Stegostoma tigrinum: one gene and its partner. The main gene of each other region encodes a partner of the protein of the gene in region 2 in a complex. Links are inferred from orthologs where the notes say so. Each region holds a gene or a part of one and is shown on either strand. Other genes may lie near its edges.

What was found.
Region 1: the proteins of dffb (region 2) and dffa are in contact, whole or in part, in an NMR structure (PDB 1F2R), measured with the Mus musculus proteins. The link is inferred for Stegostoma tigrinum from reciprocal best matches to the Homo sapiens genes DFFB and DFFA. Residues at the interface, in NP_031885.3 of Mus musculus: Cys10, Lys12, Arg14, Ala19, Cys20, Lys21, Phe22, Gly23, Val24, Ala25, Ala26, Arg39; in NP_001020467.1 of Mus musculus: Asp66, Thr68, Ile69, Val70, Asp71, Asp72, Asp74, Tyr75, Trp94, Tyr96, Asp100.

Annotation. Positions count from the first base shown.
Region 1 is NC_081381.1:13,579,425-13,589,516, reverse strand, and holds the start of dffa (DNA fragmentation factor subunit alpha), read right to left. Parts: upstream 4,461-10,092; 5' UTR 4,395-4,460; coding exon of another isoform or gene 4,362-4,394; 5' UTR 4,245-4,361; intron 4,212-4,244; exon of another isoform or gene 3,989-4,211; 5' UTR 3,598-3,988; coding exon 3,498-3,597; intron 1-3,497. Other genes in the region: peroxisomal membrane protein PEX14, read left to right, coding at 4,362-4,394. UniProt on the Homo sapiens protein: Inhibitor of the caspase-activated DNase (DFF40).
Region 2 is NC_081381.1:42,890,472-42,900,864, forward strand, and holds the start of dffb (DNA fragmentation factor subunit beta), read right to left. Parts: upstream 5,020-10,393; 5' UTR 4,981-5,019; coding exon 4,876-4,980; intron 1,615-4,875; coding exon 1,488-1,614; intron 443-1,487; coding exon 257-442; intron 1-256. UniProt on the Homo sapiens protein: Nuclease that induces DNA fragmentation and chromatin condensation during apoptosis. Degrades naked DNA and induces apoptotic morphology.

The DNA of each region.
Region 1 (10,092 bases), about 29 Mb from region 2:
AAAAGGTGGGAAGTAGTGTTACAGATGTATAAAACTTTAGTGAGGCCACATTTGGAATACTGCATGCTACCAGAAAGATGTGGATGCTTTGGAGAGGGTGCACAGAAGAATTAGCAGGATGTTGCCTGGTCTGGGGAGTTTTAGGTATGGGGAAAGGTTGGATAAACTTGGATTATTTTCACTGGAAAGATGGAGGCTGAGGGGTGGTCTGATTGAGATCTACAAAATTATGAGAGACATAGATAGGATGGATAGTCAGAGGCTTTTCCCCCCAAGGTGGAAAGGTCAACTACAAGAGAATACGGGTTCAAGGCGAGAGGGGGAAATTTTAGGGGAGAAGTGTGTAGAACATTTTTCACACACAGGGTTTTGGGTGTCTGAAATGTGCTTTTAGTGGAGCTAATGGAAGCAAGCACGTTAGCAAGATTTAAGGTGTATCTTGATAGACACACGAAAAGGAGGTGAAGAGAGAGATAGTGACTGAGTATGGGTGATAAGTAGTTGGTCTAAGTAAGAAGTAGAAATCAGTGCAGTCTTGGTGGGCTGAAAGGCCTAGTCCTGTGCTGTGTTGTTCTCTGTGCTTTCTCTGCAAAACTGACATCTTTACAGCAACCAGACCAAAGGTACCGCCAACTTCTAAAAAGCTCATTTTCCCGTTTTGTAGTGTCTGTTGAAAGTCATTTCCACTTGTCTTCTGAGAATCCCTAACCCAACTCTTTCTAGTCACACATGGGATTTTTGTCCAGAAATCTCCACAACTCTGTCTCTTGTAGCAGAGAAGGAGTCCTCAGCAGAAATCCACCTGCTGGTTCACAGAAAGCAGCCTTTTACCTCTGCTTTTGACAGCAGCTGCTGCTCCCTTATCTCCCTTTCTGTCCAGGATGTCTCAGTCAGTATTTCTGGTATTACTAAGGCCAGCTGTGTAATCCTTTGTCTCCAGGTGTTAGGGACCTGTCCCCAAGGCAGTCAGATCACTTGGACTTGTTGCTGGGCAGATCAACAGACACAATTTTATTTTATCTTTAATTAAAGGAGTTAGTCTAAACATAATCATTTTATGCAGCCTCACATTTGTAACAATGGTCCTCTAACCAGCAGTGTAAAAAAATGCTGGAATAGTCTCCCTGCTGTTATATTCTATGATTCGGCTAATAAAAGAAACCATAATTATATTCTATTTAATCATTTTATAGCTTGTCCTGCTGCTTTTAAGGATCTGTTGACATCCACTCCAAAGTCTCTCTGCTCTTCCACATAACTGAGTACCTTCATATTTAATGTGTATTACCGTTGTCTTGTTGCACCTCCTAAAATGCACTATCTACTTCAATGGATTGAATTCCATTTTCCACTTTTCTGCCCAAATAACCAGATCATCTCTAGCTTCCTGCAGTCTAAAACTTTCCTCCTCACCACAAACTACACGACCAACATTTGTATTATCTGCAAACTTCTTTATCATGCCTCCTTCAATGGTGTCTATATTAGTGATATGAATTACCAAAAGCAAGGGAATGAGTACTAAGTCCTGTGGAATTCCACCAGTCACAAAAAATACTTTCAACCGTCACCCTTTGCTTCCTCCAACACAAGGTCACTTTTGGATTCAATTTGCTACCCTCCCTTGAATTCCTCCAACTCTGAACCTTTTTGATTCTCATACATGGGCCCCTGGGTCAAATAATTAATTTTCTCCAGTTCACAGTTTCCAGTTTTGCAAGTTAACTTCGATTCTTTGATCAAATTTGTTTCTAAATCCATCCCAAATATTTTTGTATGCTCTAAGCAGTCATTTTTTTAGTGGGTGCAATTCTTCAAGCTTACAATGAGCCTCACTGGAAAAATATGTACATGTTATACATCAAGATGGGTCATTTCAACATCCTGCTGCAGTACAATGAAAAAAACAGTTAGGGTAGAAGAGGCAAACTCTGTACGCATCATTCTATCCATGTCAAGGCAATCAGAACTCTTTATAACCCAGCCAAATTTACTTTGAGTGGGTAATTGCATGTGACTTAAATCTTTTTCAATATTTATACAACCAAGGTTATTAGATTCAAAGTCCATGAGTTACAAACCAAGGTAAAAGCCTCTTTATGCCGTGAACCAGCTCCATCTATTGGGACAGGTCAGACAGAAAGCTAAGAGGCTGTAAATTAAAATCACAAGTACAGATCTGTAACAAAAAAAACTGTAATAATAGATGTTTTCTAACTTGAGAAACTAACACTGTTTCTAACAAAGCAACACACCAAGGATTTGGAGAAACTCAGCAGATCTGGCAACATCTGTGAAGAAACAAGAGTTAACATTTTGCACCGGAATGACTTCTTCAGAACACTCTTTGCAACCTTCATGGGCACTCAGTTAACTTGCTTGGTGGACTCCAAAGCTAGAAGCAAGTCTTTGAGTTTGACAGGAACAATGAAACAGGATAAGAATGCACACTTCAACACAGACTCACTCTATCCTAATTTTTTAGGCACTAAACTTAAAAATGGATTTTGAAAGTGGAACAGCACAAGACAAATCTTAGATAACAAGGTGTGAAGCTGGATGAACACAGCAGGCCAAGCAGCATCTCAGGTGCACAAAAGCTGACGTTTTGGGCCTAGACCCTTCATCAGAGAGGGGGATGGGGAGAGGGAACTGGATTAATAGGGAGAGAGGGGGAGGCGGACCGAAGATGGTGCAGTGGGAGAGAGATTCCCTGAGGTTGGTCCGGAGGGAGGAGGGTAACTTCTTCAGGTTAGGCATCCCTGGAAGAGGCTTTGCAGTGGGGTTAAAATTGTATCAGAGATAGTAGGAACTGCAGATGCTGGAGAATCCAAGATAACAAAGCGTGGAGCTGGATGAACACAGCAAGCCAAGCAGCATCTCTGCAGCGCAAAAGCTGACGTTTCGGGCCTAGACCCTTCATCAGAGAGCCTCTCTGCTTTTTGTGCTGCTGAGATGCTGCTTGGCCTGCTGTGTTCATCCAGCTCCACACTTTGTTATCTTGGATTCTCAAGCATCTGCAGTTCCTACTATCTCTGATACAAGACAAATCTTAATGGCCTCATTTAATCAGGCTTAGGTATTTTCTAATCAACCTATTTAGACATGTTATTAGAGATAATGGGAACTGCAGACGCTGGAGGATCCAAGATAACAAAGTGTGCGGGATGCTGCTTGGCCTGCTGTGTTCTTCTAGCCCCACACTTTGTTATCTTAGACACGTTATTACAAGCTTTTGCAGGTGGAATTTGAACTCACAGCATCCTGGCCCAGGGGTGGGGACACTGCAACTACACCACAAGAGCCTCCTGGATTGACTTAATATGACTGTTATTAAGGTGTCAGACCTGCTACATATGCCCTGTTGCCCGTGGCCCACCTCCCCATCCGATGGAAGTTTAAAAATGGGATGGGGCCAGGGAGCCAGCATACCAAACAATGACAGTCTTTCTGGCTTCGCTTGTGTACCAAGGTGACAAGGGCTTCTGAATGGTTACCTTTGGCTACCAGATCTTCCAAAGACTTCACGACGACGCCGAACGTTTGAAGACGGCTAGAGCCACAGATTTTGCAGGGAAATCTTCTTTCTTGATCCATGGCTGAACACCCCCTGCCCTCTCCAGGAGTGAGGCAGAGAGAGACCTGGTTTGCTTTCGAAGGCGAATGGTCTAGATACCTTAAGACTAATGGGTGAGGAGCGCCCCCCCAAACACTTATAAGCAGATTATCTGGTAGCTCTTCACCTTACTGTTGTGGGATCTTGCTGTGCACAACCAGGTCCCTGCGTTTCCCACAGTAACTGAACTTCGAGAGTCCGCTAATGGCAACAAGGGACACTAGGACAGAGAGCTGATGCCGCAAAGTAATGTAAATATACAATTCCCTCTCCCCACAGATGTTCTGCACCGTCCCTCCCAGTTGTTGTTGTAGTAGTGGTGGCTGGCTGTTATTGCGCATGCGCTCCAAACCGACAATTTTTTTTCCCCGTCTGAATTAACGAGGGAGAAAAATGATTATAGCCATGGCTGTGGATTGTCGGAAGCTTAAAAAAACATTTAAAAGGTCCACTGTGAGAAAAAAATAAAGCGACGGCCTGAGTGTGATCATGCCAACCCAGAATAAAAACTACAACTCCCATAATGCTTCGGCCCCAACGGTCCGTTAATTTTCTGTATGTTCTGAATATAATCCACAATTTTACATCAGGTTAGGATTTTATAAATCTCTACTTGAATTCATTTTACCAGAAAAGGTGATGTTTTTGTCCTTGTCGTTGGTGATTGAGGGGTTCTGCGATCGATATTGTCGCCTCGGGCACAGGAGAGCGACCGTGCTATGATCGGTTGCTCTGGTCCATAAAGATGGCGTCCTTTGAGCAGGCGGAGCCGCGACAGGTAAGAAACCCCGGGGTGGCCCATACACATCTCCCACCTTCCCTCAAACTTACCTCCCCTCCATTCCCACCTCAATCGCTATCCCATTACTTTATCCCCTACATCCCTTCCGCTCACATCCCCCCCTCCCCCGACGTCCTGTACACCTCTCCCTTCCCCACTCACCTCCTTCACAGCTCTCCTCCAACCTCACTCACCCATACATTTCCTTTGCCTGCCTCATACCCCCTTTCCCTTTCCCCCCAAATCAATCTCTTGTTCCCCCACCACCATCACCACCTCTCACCCTCACATTACCTTCTCTCTCAACCTTAACCCGCCTTCTACCCCCGCCCCCAGTTCACCGTCAGCTGCCCCCCCACACGGCTGACGCTCAACCGACCCCCCCCCCCATCCTGCGCCTCTCCTAACATGCCCTCGCATGATATCTCCCTTCTTGCTTCATCCCCTTTCATGTTGTCTTCCCCCCTCATCCCTCCACGCATCCTCGCTTGCACTTTCCCCAACATACGTGCTGTCTCTTCTGTTCATTGCCTTTCCTCCCATCTCTTGCTCTGCCCCTCTGCCCACCCCTCCTTTCCCCTACTCTGTTGCCTTCTCCCCTTCTTCCCCTTGCCTTCTGTTCTTCGCTGACACTCCTTTGCCTGCATGTCCTTCCTTTCCTCCATTACCATTTGGGAATTTGATCCAAATCACTGGTTTATTTTTGTTCGCTTTCAGAAACGTCAGTAACCCAGATACTATAATCGCTTTTCCCTTGTAGAAGTACTGTCAGATCAGAGTGAAGTCCAGTGCATTAAAAAGGGGCAATCGTATTTATGTGTTTGGTAATTTTTTGTCTATGAAGTACTTATTATGCTTCACTTCGTCTCCGTCTCACTGCTTTTAGAGGAATACAAGGTATATGAGTGTGTTTATTAGATATGAGGTTATTTGGAAAAAATACACTGGATAAACCTGAGATTCCATTCAATGCTCAGTTTTTTTGAGAGCTTGTGGTCAGCCTCTGATCTTGTTTCTAATGCCCTTTTCTTGATGTTTCAGTTTTTAGCTGTTAGCTATGCTGATAATTATGCATTTACTTATATGCCAATAATACTGTTTTTCAGTTTATTTATTTTTCATTTTGCATTTCCGCTGTCTCGGTCTGGGTGTGGCCATGTGTTGTTGAGTGCCGATAGTATCTATCCAAACTAAACAGCACTATTGACCAAAAATGCTTTTGTTCTTGTAACTAAGTAAACAATGTTGGGGAACTTAGGTAAAACGGGAAGATTCTGGGGATATTCAGAAGGTTAGATAGTTACTGACCAAGCTCTCAACTTCAACTTCTAATCTGGTTGTGGTGTAAGGTTGTTGAACTGAGTGGATGTAGAATCCAAGTTAACAACAGATGCTAACACTGAAATTGCTGGAAAAGCTCAGCTGGTCTGGCAGCATCTGTGGAGAAAAATCAGAGTTAACGTTTCAGGTCAGGTGACTGGACGAAGGAGCACTCAACCCAAAATGTTAACTCTGATTTCTCTCCACAGATGCTGCCAGACCTTCAGAGCTTTTCCAGCAATTTCTGATTCACAGCAACCACAGTTCTCTTTGGTTTTCAACCACAGATGCTGCTCGACCTGCTTAGCATTCCTAATGTTTTCTTTTTTCATTTCCAGAGTGTATGTGCAGGTTTACAAGGTAAAGGTGGGGAATGTGGGACTCCTTCTTCTGTTATTTTTGCACCAAGCCAGCATGGCTGTGTGTGTCAGACCGTAAGTGTGTTTTTCCCCAAGGTCACATAATTTATTTTCTCCAGTTCACAGTTTCCGGTTTCGCAAGTTAACTTCGATTCTTTGATCAAATTTGCTTCTAAATCCATCCCAGATATTTTTGTATGCTCCAAGCAGTCATTTTTTTAGAAAGTAATCATGTGAAACAGTACAGGAGAAACTCGGAGGGTCTGGCAGCATCTGTGGAGAGAGAAACTGAGTCCAGTATAATTCTTAACATTAGCTCTGTTTCTCTATCCACAGATGCTGACAGACCCTCAATTTCTCCAGCACTTTACTTCAGATCTCCAGAATCTCTAGTATTTTGCATATGAGAAATTCCTATTTTTGTGTTGCAAACAAAGTGGAATTATTTGGATACTTTTTGTAGGTTTCTTTGGGGAGGAGAAATTCATATTTGGGAAAGTTTTGGGTATAAATAGTTCTGATGGTTTAAAATTTGGCATTTTTGCATTTATCCTGAAGAGGACAAGACATCAGACTTTGGAAAGAGCTAACACGGTGTGGACCCGTCCCTACCCGAAGTGTCAACTTTCCTGCTCCTCTGCTGCCTGGCCCGCTGTGTTCCTCCAGCTCCACACTGTGTTATCTCAGACTCCAACATCAGCAGTTCTTACTATCCCCGACTTTGGAAAGATGTCTCTTCTGCAAGATTCAAGATTTGTATTACCAAGCAATTATTCAGTTCATAAAGTTGTTTCAAAAAATTATATTTCTCAATGAATTTTGCTGTTCAATTGGTGGCCAATTGTCACCAGAATGGAATTTAATTCTGAAACTTGAATTTTAAGATCTGATTGGCTTCCTATGTTGCTTTCTTTGTGGTATTTCATATTCCTTTTTTATTCTGGAGTTTTAGGCTGAGTGTGGACTTCACTCAACCAAGTCTTAGGTACAATTTGATTGTTTGTTTGTTTGTTTTTGTTTTGGCAATTTTTGGCATGCCCTGTGATGATACTTCAGGGTTTGCCTCTGTTTTGTTTACAGCAGCCTTGGAATCATACAGAACAGAAAAAGGCCCTTTGGCTGAATTTGTTCGCACCAATCAGGTTTCCAAAACTGAACTCATCCGATTTGGCCCATATTCCTCTAAACCTTTCCTATCATGTACCTGTCCAAAACTCCCTTAGATGTTGTAATTGTACCTGCATCTATCATTTCTTCTGGCAGCTTGTTGTATATACACACACACACACACACGATCCTCTGTGTGGAAAATGTTGCCCCTTAGGTACCTTTTTAAATCTTTCCCTTCTCACTTTAAATCTATGCCGTCTGGTTTTGGACTCTCCTATCCTTGAGAAAAGACCTTGGCTATTCTCCTTATCTGTGCTGCTCATGATTTTATAAATTTCCATAAGGTCACCCCTCAGCCTCCTATGCTTCAAGGGAAAATAGTCCTAGCTTATTCAGCCTCTCCTTATAACTCAAACCATTCAAATTCCGTAACATCCTTGTAAATCTTTTTTGCATCTTTCCAGTTAAATAACATCCTTCCTACAGCAGGGTGTTTCTGCCTAATGTGCCTTGGCCCAGAAAATCTGAGCTGCAGGGACCATCCTGTCTCTATTTTAAGCAATGTATTATTAGCCTGGATTTAGATCAGTCACTGAATAAATAATCTATTTTAAGGCAGTCGTATTTGTTCTAATATCTTTTTGTATATAACATGCACAATAAAGGGCATTATAAAGTTAGGATGAAATTTAGGGCTGTATATAAACATTCAAAGTGGACCTCCAAAAGGTAATTCCATATGAATAATCTTTAGGAAATCAGCATGTGTAAAGGTCTGTCAGAGTACCTCAACCTAATTTGTTACAGGAGATGAGAGGATGTTTAAAGTTATCTTCCCACAGCACAGTGTGAGCATGTTCCTATGATTTCTACTGCAGCCAGTTGTATATTAAGGTCTCCTTGACACAGCACAATGTGAATCTATTTGGAGACAGATGAAGCCCTTAAAACAATTTGCATTATCTGATGTATGGAATGTACACCATTTTCAGTTTCACCCAACGTGTGTGAGTACCACATTCTCACTACCCTGGATAAAGAAGCTCCTGCTAGATTACATATTAGGTTTTTATTTATCATATTTATGGTTCTGATTTATCTGTCTTCCTGCATGTGGAATCATCATGTAATCTACCAGATCGCTGCTGCGCCATGGGTCCCTATCCGATCACCCCTCCGTCGTCTCTTTGAGTGGAAAGTCCCCATCTGTTCAATCTTTTCTGATTACATTTAAACCAATGTTCTAGTATCAGCCTTGTGGTACCTCTTTGTATCTTCTCCATGTATTTCTTTCAAATAAGGAAACCAGGATTTAGGGGAGGCTGTATGGCACTGGATTAGTAATCTGCTACTCCAGGCTGAAGTTCTGGTGATATGGTTCAAATTGTACCAAGACAGATAGTGAAATTTGGGTTGAATAAAATCTGAAATGAAGACTCTAATTGATAATGGTTACATAATCATCATTATTGTAAAAACCAATCTGGTTCACTAATGATCATCAGGGAAAGAAATCCGCTGCTCTCACCCCATCTACACTGCATGTGGCTCCAGACCCATGGCACTGTGGTTGCCTCTTAACTATCTTTTGAAAAGACCATAGCAAACCAAACAGTTCAAGGGCTAATTAAGAATGGGCAACAAATGGCCTTGCCACTGTTACAAATTTGGGTGGAGCATTCATGGATTGGAAGGCAGGGAGTTAGTATTTGTGGATAAAAATAATCGTGGGGAAAAAGTGCTGTGGTCCCTTTAAGAACTTGTGCTTTGTCCGTGCTTGGAAGCTTATAAATGCAGGTGCATAGAGAGTGCCCACATGGAAACATTTCGTATAGAACGGCCGTGCAGCATTTTTTTCCGAGACAACAAGTTTGAATTTTGCCAATTAATTTAAATGAAGCATCTAGATACAGAAAGCCGGTTGAGTTTAAATCTGGTGTTCACAACCTGAAATCAATCATAAGAACTGGATTATGTCATTGGGGGTGTGTAAGACAAGGGCATTTGGAAAGTCTGAGAGCCAACTGCCACCTGAAAGAGACAGCCATCCACCACCTGCCAGAGTTCGTACGATACAGTTCTCAGAAAGCCCATCTAACTAATCAAAGGTGCCATGGTATTTTAGCTCAAAGTCTTCACTGAAGAAATTATAGAGAGAAAATATCCCTGACTGCAGAATTAATGGAAGAAAGGTGTTTGTGAAGAGCCTGGAGATGACAGAATATTCCGGAAGACAGTCTGTGAGCTTGGAGAGACTACGTTTTAATTTATTGTTTATTATTAATTGGGTTTATCTTGGTGGGACTTGTCTTTATTTAAACAGCATTCCAGTAGAATTTAGACCAGTTAGGAAGTAGTTAGTAGACTTAAGGACAAATTGTCTGTTGTTAGTAATTTTGTTAATTTGTTCATTGTGTTAAATAAATAAATTGTTTCTTGTTACTTGTAAAGTGGAGATCAGGGATTTTCTTTCTTTTAACCCCTCTTTTAATAGATTAGACAAGCTTCTCTCAGTATTTCAGGAGGAATTGTTAGAGGGCGCCCCTACTCCTGTCATGACAGATTAAAAGGGAGATATTACAAACTGTAGATGCTGGAGAATCTGAGATAGCAAGGTATAGAGCTGGATGAACGCAGCGGTCCAAGCAGCTTTGAGGAACTAGAAAGCTGACATTTCGGGTCTGGATCATTCCTGAAGAAGGGTCCAGACCCAAACGTCAGCTTTCCTGCTACTCTGCTGCTTGGTCTGCTGTGTTCATCCAGCTCTACACCTTGTTATGAAAGATTGAGACTTGTGTTTTAGCTTAATTATCGCTTAATCATTCCCTGGCATAACAGCTACCAATGCCTTTGTTCTGTGCAATCTTAAAAAAAAGTGGTCTAATCAAAGAACCACAAAAGATTTT
Region 2 (10,393 bases):
CACATAGAAACAATAAGCACCTTTAGGAAAGGATAGAAGGTGTTGGGCAAGAGAAAGGGAGAATGTTGGTGTCTGGATTATGATGCATGATTGAGAAAATTGTGCATTATCTGTGAAAGAACTCCTATCAATGGGCTTAATGGGAATTTCTTGTTTCATTGGAGCATGAATTTTCTGTTGGTACATTGTGCATGTTGTTTCGAAATAACCAACTTTATTCAGTCTTATATCAATGTCAACTTCAGTAGCACATCACCTTCAAACCATTCCTGGTCATCCTTACGGTTTTCAGCTGTTATATTTCCAGCACTGTTTTGAACAATGCACTTGAGCAGCATCTTTTTTCTGGGTTCTGTTTCATCAGATAACATTCGTCTTGCAATCATAATTAATTCTTCATTATTTTGGTCATGAAGTATTTTATTCAAGTAGTAGCAAACCTCTGAAAATGGGACAGAGACATTAACCTCCAGTTTTAAAATCAGTCTGGATTGGAATTATGATCTTAAATTATTATAAACTAAAGTAAAACATGGCTAATCAGATTTCAGAGATAATGGGAACTGCAGATGCTGGAGAATCCAAGTTAACAAAGTGTGGCTCTGGACGAACACAGCAGGCCAAGCAGCATCTTAGGAGCACAAAAGCTGACGTTTCGGGCCTGGACCCTTCATCAGAAAAACCTTTTTCTGATGAAGGGTCTAGGCCCGAAACGTCAGCTTTTGTGCTCCTAAGATGCTGCTTGGCCTGCTGTGTTCATCCAGCCCCACACTTTGTTACCGCTAATCAGATTCCATTATTTTTTACATAATAGGTGTTGGAAACTGGGTTTCATGTAGTCTAGCATGTTGCCTTGACACATGAAGTAATCCATCTCCCAAATGCCCCATAACCACACCAAAAAGTCCTAATTTGGTGACACTGAGTCTTCTTGTCTCAATGCTCACCAACACTGTTCCTACTCAAATGCAGAGATTAGCATTGATCTCTGTGTGAGCAACCAACTAACAGTATATATTTGCGACAAATCTCCCAGAAAATGCGCCAATTTAGATGGTTCAAAGATGAGTTTACACAGATTTAACGCTTTTTATAAGTGAAATTACCTGACATGCAATTAATAACCTGGAACTCACTGCCTATGAGCATGGGGAGAAATGATTCTGAAACAAAACTGGATGGGCACTTAATGGAAATACAACTGCAGACTACAGAGAGAGCGTAACGGAATAATACATATCAAACTGCTCTACAGAGAGCTGTTGTGGACTTGGTGGGCTAAATGACCTTCTTCTCTGCCCTTATGACTGTATGGAAGCAGTTGTATCCCTCTCCAAACAGTCTCAAGCCTATCAATCAGGCTGACTTCCAGAGGAGGAAACGACTTGAAAAAAATCAATGAGAAACCAGGATTCCCATGTTTCCAAAAAAATCTGTTCCCACTCCTCACAAAGCCTGCCCTAGTCAACCTGGGAATCTGTACTTACTTCCATCCCACTGCTGTCCCTGCTCCAGAATAATGAGCTTACAGTTATCTTCTAGACATGAGAAATTGTCAGCGTGGACTTCTGTGCCATCTTTATGTAAACATATGCGACATCCTTTACGTGGGATCTAATCAAGATAAAACAAGCAATTATCATAAAGTATAATAAACACTATTGCTGTTTTCCTGGAATCATTTTCTGGGGGTTGGTTAGTTCAGTTGGTTGATTGGCTGGTTTGTGAAACAAAGTGATGTTAACAGTGTAGATTCAATTCCTGATATCAGAGGTAGTTTCTTTAGTCAGAGAGTAGTAAGGGAATGGAACACTTTGCCTGCAACGGTAGTAGATTCGCCAACTTTAGGTACATTTAAGTCATCATTGGATAAGCATATGGACGTACATGGAATAGCGTATGTTAGATGGACTTGAGATCGGTATGACAGGTCGGCACAACATAGAGGGCCGAAGGGCCTGTACTGTGCTGTAATGTTCTATGTTCTATGTCCGGCACCAGGTGAGGTTCCTATGAAGGGTTCTCTTTCCTCGCCTCCCCTCTTGCCTGAGGTGCAGTGACCCTCAGGTTAAATTACCACCAGTAGTTTCTCTCTATCGAATAAGAGAGCAGCTATATGGAAGGTAAGATGACAGCAACTTTACCTTTTAATCATTTTGTTGCTACTTTTAAAGGAATGATAGTGGTCCTTTTAACTCAAGAGGCTTGTCTCGAAATATGAACTATACAATAGAATAACTTCAAGCCATTGGTAACCTTCATCTGAGAAGACTCAGTTTCCAATGAGTCTGAGCAAATGCTGCCCATGACTTGTCTCAAATTGCCATTACACTGGCAATATTACTCCAAACAGTTCACCAAAGAATTCCTGGCATCTGTAACATGAACATTGGCATAGGTGCAAATGAGACAGTGTTTTATGAGGTGGTGTCATCTATGTGTCTTTGCCTCTAACTAGTTATACCAGTAACATTGTGTTATACAACAGAAAATAGAACGAAAAGTCCACACAGGTATAATATGCTTCATTAGATTTGAAATGCTTCACATTTTATTGGTATGTCATTAGTGCTGTATTTCAAAGTTGAATACTCTATGCACAAGTTTCTCCAACAACAGACCAAGTCATACCAAGCACTTCCAGTTAGGCAGTCTCGAATTCATCATTGCCAACATGTCCCTAAAGCAGATGGCTGACTCTTGGAACACCAATGACAAATCTTCAAACTCAAGGTTTGTTCCTGACAGTTTAAAATCTTACTGCTGGTGCTGAATATTTGAATTTCCTCTGAATTTGCAAATTTTATGTGAGAATTAAATACAAGGGTGCAATGTACAATTTTATGAGGAGTGAAACTACGTCTCAATTAGTCAACATTAAATACCTTAAGTATTTCTGTGATCTGTCACAATGTATCACATTGAAGTGGATATCATTTATCACAATCGAAATATTCTACTCAGTTTCAAGGTCTCTCTTTTCAGTGCTGGTTGAATGCCCACCCGAGAATGGCAAATTTCCCTACAGCCATCATGAGTAAATTCACTTTTTGATTTGTTAAGTGGCCATATCAATGTTTAACCAAAGATTCCTATGTACAACATCTAGGTACTAAACGACTTTCCATAAATGGTGCCATTGTTGCAGGAAAACACCACAGCTAATTTATAGACTGAAGGATCCCACAAATACTAAAATAATGACCAGATAATGGTGTTGTGGTGACAACTGGAGAGTAAATATTGGCCAGGACACAGGGGAGACCTCTCGTTCCCCCTCCCCGCTTCTCTTTCTAAAAATCATATTGTAAAATTCAGGCCTCAGTTTATAGGGAAGAAATAGAGTGCTTGTTGGTCTAGCTTAAGATAACAATCTCTCCCTTAATGTTAACAAAGCAAAAGAGCTGATCATTGACTTCAGGAAGCAAGGAGCAGCTCACGCCCCTATCTACAGTAATACAGCTGAGTTAGAGATGGTCGAGTGCGCTCAAGTTCCTATGAGTGATGACCACCAACAATCTGTCCTGGTCCACCCACACTGACGCAATAGTCAAGAAAGCATAACAATGCTTCTTGTTCCTCAGGAGGCGAAGGAATTTCAGCATGTCCATAAAGACTCTCACCAACTTTTACAGAAGCACCATTGAAAGTTTTCTATCTGGATGTATCAAGGCTTGGTACGGCAGCTGTTTTGTCCAGGGCTGTTAGAAACTACATAAAGTTGTGAACACAGCCCAATCCATCACTCCAGCCTTTAATCCATTGACTCCATCTACACTTCTTGCTGCCTCAGGAAGGCAGCCAACATCACCAAAGACTGCTCCCAACCTGGCTATAATCTCTTCCAACCTCTTCTGTTGGGCAGAAGATAACAAAAGCTTAAACACACGTACCAACATGCTCAAGAACAGCTTCTTCCCCACTGTTATTAGACTCCTGAACGGACCTCTCAAAATTGAAATCCAACGTTGGTCTTGGTTTTTGTGCACCTTCTCTACATCTGTAACTTTGTATTTCTCGCTCTATTCTACCTCTGTAAGGTATGATCTGCCCGAACTGCACACAAAACAAAATTTTTCACAATACTTAGGTACATGTGACAATAATAAATAAAATCAAATCTCAGCAAATTAATTCAAAGTAAAGGGGGCAACATGCTCTTAAGGTTGATGTGCCACTTGGGGTTTTGTATTCAACTCTCTGGAATTCTATCATTTCATTCATGATCTGCTTTCTAATTTCTGATTATTTAAATTTAGGTATTTAAGGGCGACAGACTTCCATTAAATGGACATGGAAAGCACGAATCAAAAGTTACATTCAACATTCGTTTTCGGGGAAAACAATTTACAGCACTGAAACGACAGGGCTTGATTCTCAAAAGTAGCATGAGATATCGGTCCCCTTTGACCTGAATTGGGTGAGACTGATGTGACTCTGCACTCCGATCAAGCAGTATATGGCACCCCTACCGTTCAGCCACTCGCAGACAAGAGAAGAGATAATGGGAACTGCAGATGCTGGAGATTCCAAGATAATAAAATGTGAGGCTGGATGAACACAGCAGGCCAAGCAGCATTGTGCTCCTGGGATGCTGCTTGGCCTGCTGTGTTCATCCAGCCTCACATTTTATTATATAGCAGACAAGAGAACCCTGGATTAATAAATATGGTGAACGTTTTCAATTCTGCTGCAGGGAAATTGCAAACATCGGCGAGCTCTCTCTACAGAAAAATTCACGGAAGTGCTTTTAAACATCCACCGTAATTAAGTCATTAAATGTCTCTTCAGATTTCCGGCCTCTCTGTTCATTGTGGGGCACTTGCTTTCATGAAATTAATTTATACGTATTTTACACAATCTAATCAATTTTACCTGCAGTTTCTGGCATCCCTTTGTCATTAGATCTCGCAGATCTCTGGCTACGATTCCATACATTCTGTCAGTCTTCAAACTCCTCACTTTGAATTTAGTCCCCATGTTAAAACGATGAACTTTTTCAAGGAATCGCAAGTGCGCATGCACTCTCCGCCCCGGAGTTGAACCAACGCCGGAATGAGGGACCGGAAGTTCCTGAATACCCTGCTCGGGTTATTGTTAACTATCAAATACACAGACAGAGATCACTGAATACAGCAAAGCCTCTGCTGATTGTTTCTTTCCTCTATGCAGTTACCTGGGTTGAAAATAGTTTTGGAAGACTTGTAACAGAATAACATTAGAAAATGTTAAGAGTACTTCGTCATTTGGGCAACATTTTGTGCGGAAAATAATGTTAGTTTCAAGTCGATTATGACCTGAGGAACGATAGAAATGTGGGGTGTGGGAAGTATAAAAGAGTAGGCTTGTGATCTGGTATCGGGCGGGAGACCTTAAATGACGAAAGGCTTTGTAAGAATTGATTAAGAATCAAAAATGTGGTCTGATGAAGAGTGACTGGCTACAGGGCTGCTTTTCTGAGTGCAAAGTAAAAGAAAAAAAACGTAAAGAAATGCAAGAAAATTGAATCAATGGGGGAAGAAAGTTGAAAATAGAGTCAGGAGATGTAAAACCGTTGAATCTAATGTCGAATTTGCCGAGTTGCAGATAAGGTTCAGCTCTTCCAGCTGATTTTCATTGGGATTGTGGCTGGCCAAGGATAAACAGATCAGAGTGGAAGCAGGGTTGACAATTACAATAACAAAGGAGAGGAAACTTGCAATTCTGCATTGCACTAATGTAGTCCATAAAACAATCCTTTTAGGAGCTGTTTCAAAGTTCTTTTTAAATTTTTTACATTTTAATAAATTTGTGTAAATGGTGAGTAAAAACGTGTATAGTTAGCATTCCTGTTCAAATGTTACACTGTTAAGGATTAAATTCCATTTGTCACTGTTCAGCTCATCTGAACTCTATTGTGATGATGCAGCTTTAAGAGGTGTATTTTGTTCTGGTATTTTTTAAGACAGAGATTGAACAAGAGATATGGAGCGGTCTGTGGTAACGTAATTAGTTTGTAAAGCCTTGGTTTTTGTTTAATTTGGAACAACAGAAATAGCCTGGTTGGGTGTGGCCAGCTTCACAGACCAGGAGATAACAAGGTATAGAGCTGGATGAACACAGCAGGCAGAGGAGCAGGAAGGCAGACATGTCTGGCCTAGACCCTTCTTCAGAAACGGGGGAGGAGAAGGAGGTTCTGAAATAAATAGGGCGAGAGGGGGCGGTAGATAGAAGATGGATAGAAAAGAAGATAGGTGGAGAGGACACAGACAAGTCAAAGAGGTGGGGATGGAGCCAGTAAAGGTGAGTGTAGGTGGGGAGCATTTCCCACAACTCATCCCTCACAACCACTCCCTGCAATAACAACCAAAACAGAATCCCCGTCACCATCACATACCACTCCACCAACCTCCGGATCCAACACATCATCCTCCAACACTGCAATCCGACCCCACCACCAAAGACATTTTTCCCCTCCCCACACTTATCTGCTTTCTGGAGGGACCACTCACTCCGTGACTCCCTTGTCCGCTCCACAATCCCTTACTGCCCCACCACACCCGGCACTTTCCCCTGCAACTGCAGGGATCGCTACACCTGCACCCACACCTCCCCCCTCATCCCCATCCCAGGCTCAAGAAGACTTTCCACATCAAGCAGATGTTCACCTGCACATTTGCTAATGTGGTATACTGCGTCCGCTATTCCTGTTGTGGCCTCCAACATATTGGGGAAACGGCTTGGAGACCGCTTTGCAGAACTAAACAACTTTGCACTAAACAACAGCACCTCCCAGTCGCAAACCATTTCAACTCCCCTTCCCATTCCTCAAAGGACATGTCCATCCTGGGCCTCCTGCAGTGCCATAACGATGCTAGCCAAAGGTTGCAAGAACAGCACCTCATATTCCGCTTGGGAATTCTGCAGCCCAATGGTATCAATGTGGACTTCACAAGCTTCAAAATCTCCCCTCCCCCACTGCATCCCAAAACCAGACCAGCTCATCCCCGCCTCCCTAACCTGTTCTTCCTCTCACCTACCCCCTTCTCCCACCTCAAGCCCCATCCCCATCTCCTAGCTACTAACCTCATCCCGCCTCGTGACCTGTCTATCCTCCCCGGACTGACCTATCTCCTCCCTAACTCCCCACCTACACTTACCTTTACTGGCTCCTTCCCTGCCTCTTTGACCTGTCTGTCTCCTCTCCACCTATCTTCTCCTCTATTCATCTTCTATCTGCCTCCCCCTCTCTCCCTATTTATTTCAGAACCTCCTTCTCCTCCCCCATTTCTGAAGAAGGATCTAGGCCAGAAACGTCAGCCTTCCTGCTCCTCTGATGCTGCTTGGCCTGCTATGTTGATCCAGCTCTACAACTTGTTATCTCAAATTCTCCAGCATCTGCAGTTTCTGCTATCCCTCACAGACCAGGATTTCTGTTTTATTTTAGCTTTTAGATTCAGCAGAAATTGCTGGAATCTTGAAGAAGTAGAAGCTTTTTATCCCCTCTCTGTTTCAGCTAAAAGCAGGAATTACTCTTCTATTGCAGGCAATGATTGTGAGAAAATCTGATTTCTAAATTTACATTTTTGCCAAGGGGTGTGTTTATGGAATGTTACTATATTTGAACAGTTAATTAGTCATATTTAGTCTACCTAATGTTCTGTTAAGTTTTCCAATATACTTAAATTATTCTCAGTTCTTTCTCGTTCATATTTTAACCATAGTATTTGACAACATTGTGTTTTGCTTAATGCTGAGTAGTTTGACCAGTTAGATTGCATCTGAAACACAGAACTTTACATTTGCGCTTAAAATACGTAAAGCCTTAGGTCTAGGCTGAGGGAGCCTGGTGTAGTCCATAAGACTATATAGCCCTTTATTGTAAGGCTTCTGTTTTCACTACTTTCATGTCACCTGCTACCTTACTAATTATACCTCCTACATTCATCATGAATGTAGGCTACACTACAAACAACAAGGGAGTCAACACCGAGCCTGCTTCGTGCCACCAGCTAATTTTGGATCCAATTTGCCAATTGCCCTGAATCCTTGGACTCTTAGCTTCTTAACCAGTCTGCCATGCAAGACCCTGTCAAATGCCTTAGTGAAGTCCATGTTGACAACATTGCTGCACCTTTGCACACCTAGTCATCTTCTCAAAAAGATCCATCAAATTTTTTAGAAGTATCACTCCCCTGATAAAGCCGTGTTGATATCCTCGACAAGAAGCAAAGAATTGCAGATGCTGGAAATCTGAAACTAAAACAAAAATTTCTGGAGAAACCCAGCAGGCCTGACAGTGTCTGTGGAGAGAAAGCAGATTCACTGTTTCAACATGATTCTGCTTTTTCTGCCAGATCTGCTGATTATCCTTGATAGTCATAAGGGAGCCAAAGATTTGGGAGGGATGTTGGTAAACAGGAATGTCAAATTGAGGCCACAATCAGGTCATCCATGATCTGTTCAAATATAAATGCAGGATTAAAAGGCTGAATGGCCTGCTCGTTCTCCTAATTTGTATGTGTGTGATGCAATGATTACTCCATCAGAAGAAGTTGTCTTGGAACTTTCTCTATCAAATGCTTTTATCACTTTAAATATCTCATAGATGTACCCAACTGTCTATTTCTATTCCTATATGCTCTTGAGAATGCGGTGGTGAGCTGCTTTCTTGAACCCATGTGCGGTAGGTAGATCCACAATGTTGTTCGGGAGGGAATTCCAGGATTTTGACCCAACAATGCTGAAGGAATGGTTATATATTTCCAAATCAGGATGGTGCAGGTGTTTTTTCCATGTACCTGCTCTGCTTGTCCTTCTTGAAAGAAGTGGTCATGCGTTTGGAAGTGCTGTCTGAGTAGGTGAATTTCTGCAGTGCATCTTGTAGATGGTACACACTGCTGCTACTGAACATCGATGGTGGAGGGAATGGATGCTTGTGGCTGTGGTCCCAATCAAATAAACTGCTTTGTTCTAGATGGTGTCAAGCTTCTTGAGTACTGTTGGAGCGGCACCCATCCAGGCGAGTGGGCAGTATTCCATCACGAGGTGCTTCATTGATTATGCTGGCCACTGGTTGGGAATGGTGCTGAATAAATGCAAATCTATTCCCTTGTTGGGAAAGATGTTGAATAAATGCAATCCTGTGGCGCAGTTGGCAGTGTCCTTTGAGCCAAAAGCTGATCACCAGGGAAAGTGTTCATAGCTAGGCTAAACAGTGATAGCAAGAACTGCAGGTGCTGGAGTCAGAGTCAACACAGTGTGGAACTGGAGGATCCCAGCAGGTCAGGCAGCATCATAGGAGCAGGAAAGTTGACGTTTCAGTTTGGGATCCTTCATCAGAACTGGGGTATGTGATGGCATGATTACCCCATCAGAATAAATTGTCTTAGAACTTTCTTTCTCAAATGCTTGAGAGAGGAAAGGTCACCGGACCTGAAAAGTTAACTCCGATTTTTTTCTTCACAGATGCTGCCAGGCCTGATGAGCTTTTCCAGCAACTCCTGTTTTTGTTGTTCTGTATCTACTTGTATGACCCTCCAGCATGCGAACAAGAGAGAGATTCCTGATCAGTATGAAAGGGTATTTAGGACTCTATGTTTTCCTGTCTCCCCAGACGCTGCCAGACTGTCTGATCTTTATTGAAGGAGATGACTTGACCATGCCTGCATCAATGGAAACCGCAAAAAAAAACTACGGATGCTGTCAATCAGGAATAAAAACGGATGTTGCTGGAAAAGCTCAGCAGATCTGGCAGCATCGGTGAAGAAAAAAAAATCAGAGTTTACAGAGAGATAGTAGGAACTGCAGGTGCTGGAGAATCTGATATAACAAGGTGTAGAGCTGGACGAACACAGCAGGCCAAGCAGCAACAGAGGAGCAGGAAGGCTGAAGTTTTGGGCCTAGACCATTCTTCAGAAAGGGTCCCTTCTTCACCATTTCTGAAGAAGAGTCCAGACCCGAAACGTCAGATTTCCTCCTCCTCTGATGCTGCCGGGACTACTGTCTTCATCCAGCTCCACACCTTGTAATCTCAGAGTTGACAGAGGTTTTCCAGCAACTGCTGTTTCAATGGACGTGCGCGCACGCCAAGGCCGCCATGCGGAGACTACAACTCCCAGAGGGCGGTGGGAGGGTGAGTCGGCGCCTGCGCAGTGTTAACTGTTGATGCTGGTGGTTATGGAGATATGGTGGTGGTTGCGGGCTGCTGGTAACGTATGTAGCGCTGAGCTTTCTCGCCGGCCGCCTGTTGGAGCGTGGTGCCACAAGCCAGGTTAACTTACACTTTTTAAAATTATCTTTTCTGAAGTAAAATAACCCACGTTGTCTGTGTTTGTAAGAACGAGTGATCGGAGCCCGGTCCGCTTCGGGGCCTCTCTGAAGTGTGGCGCCGTTCCATGAGGCTGGTGGAAAG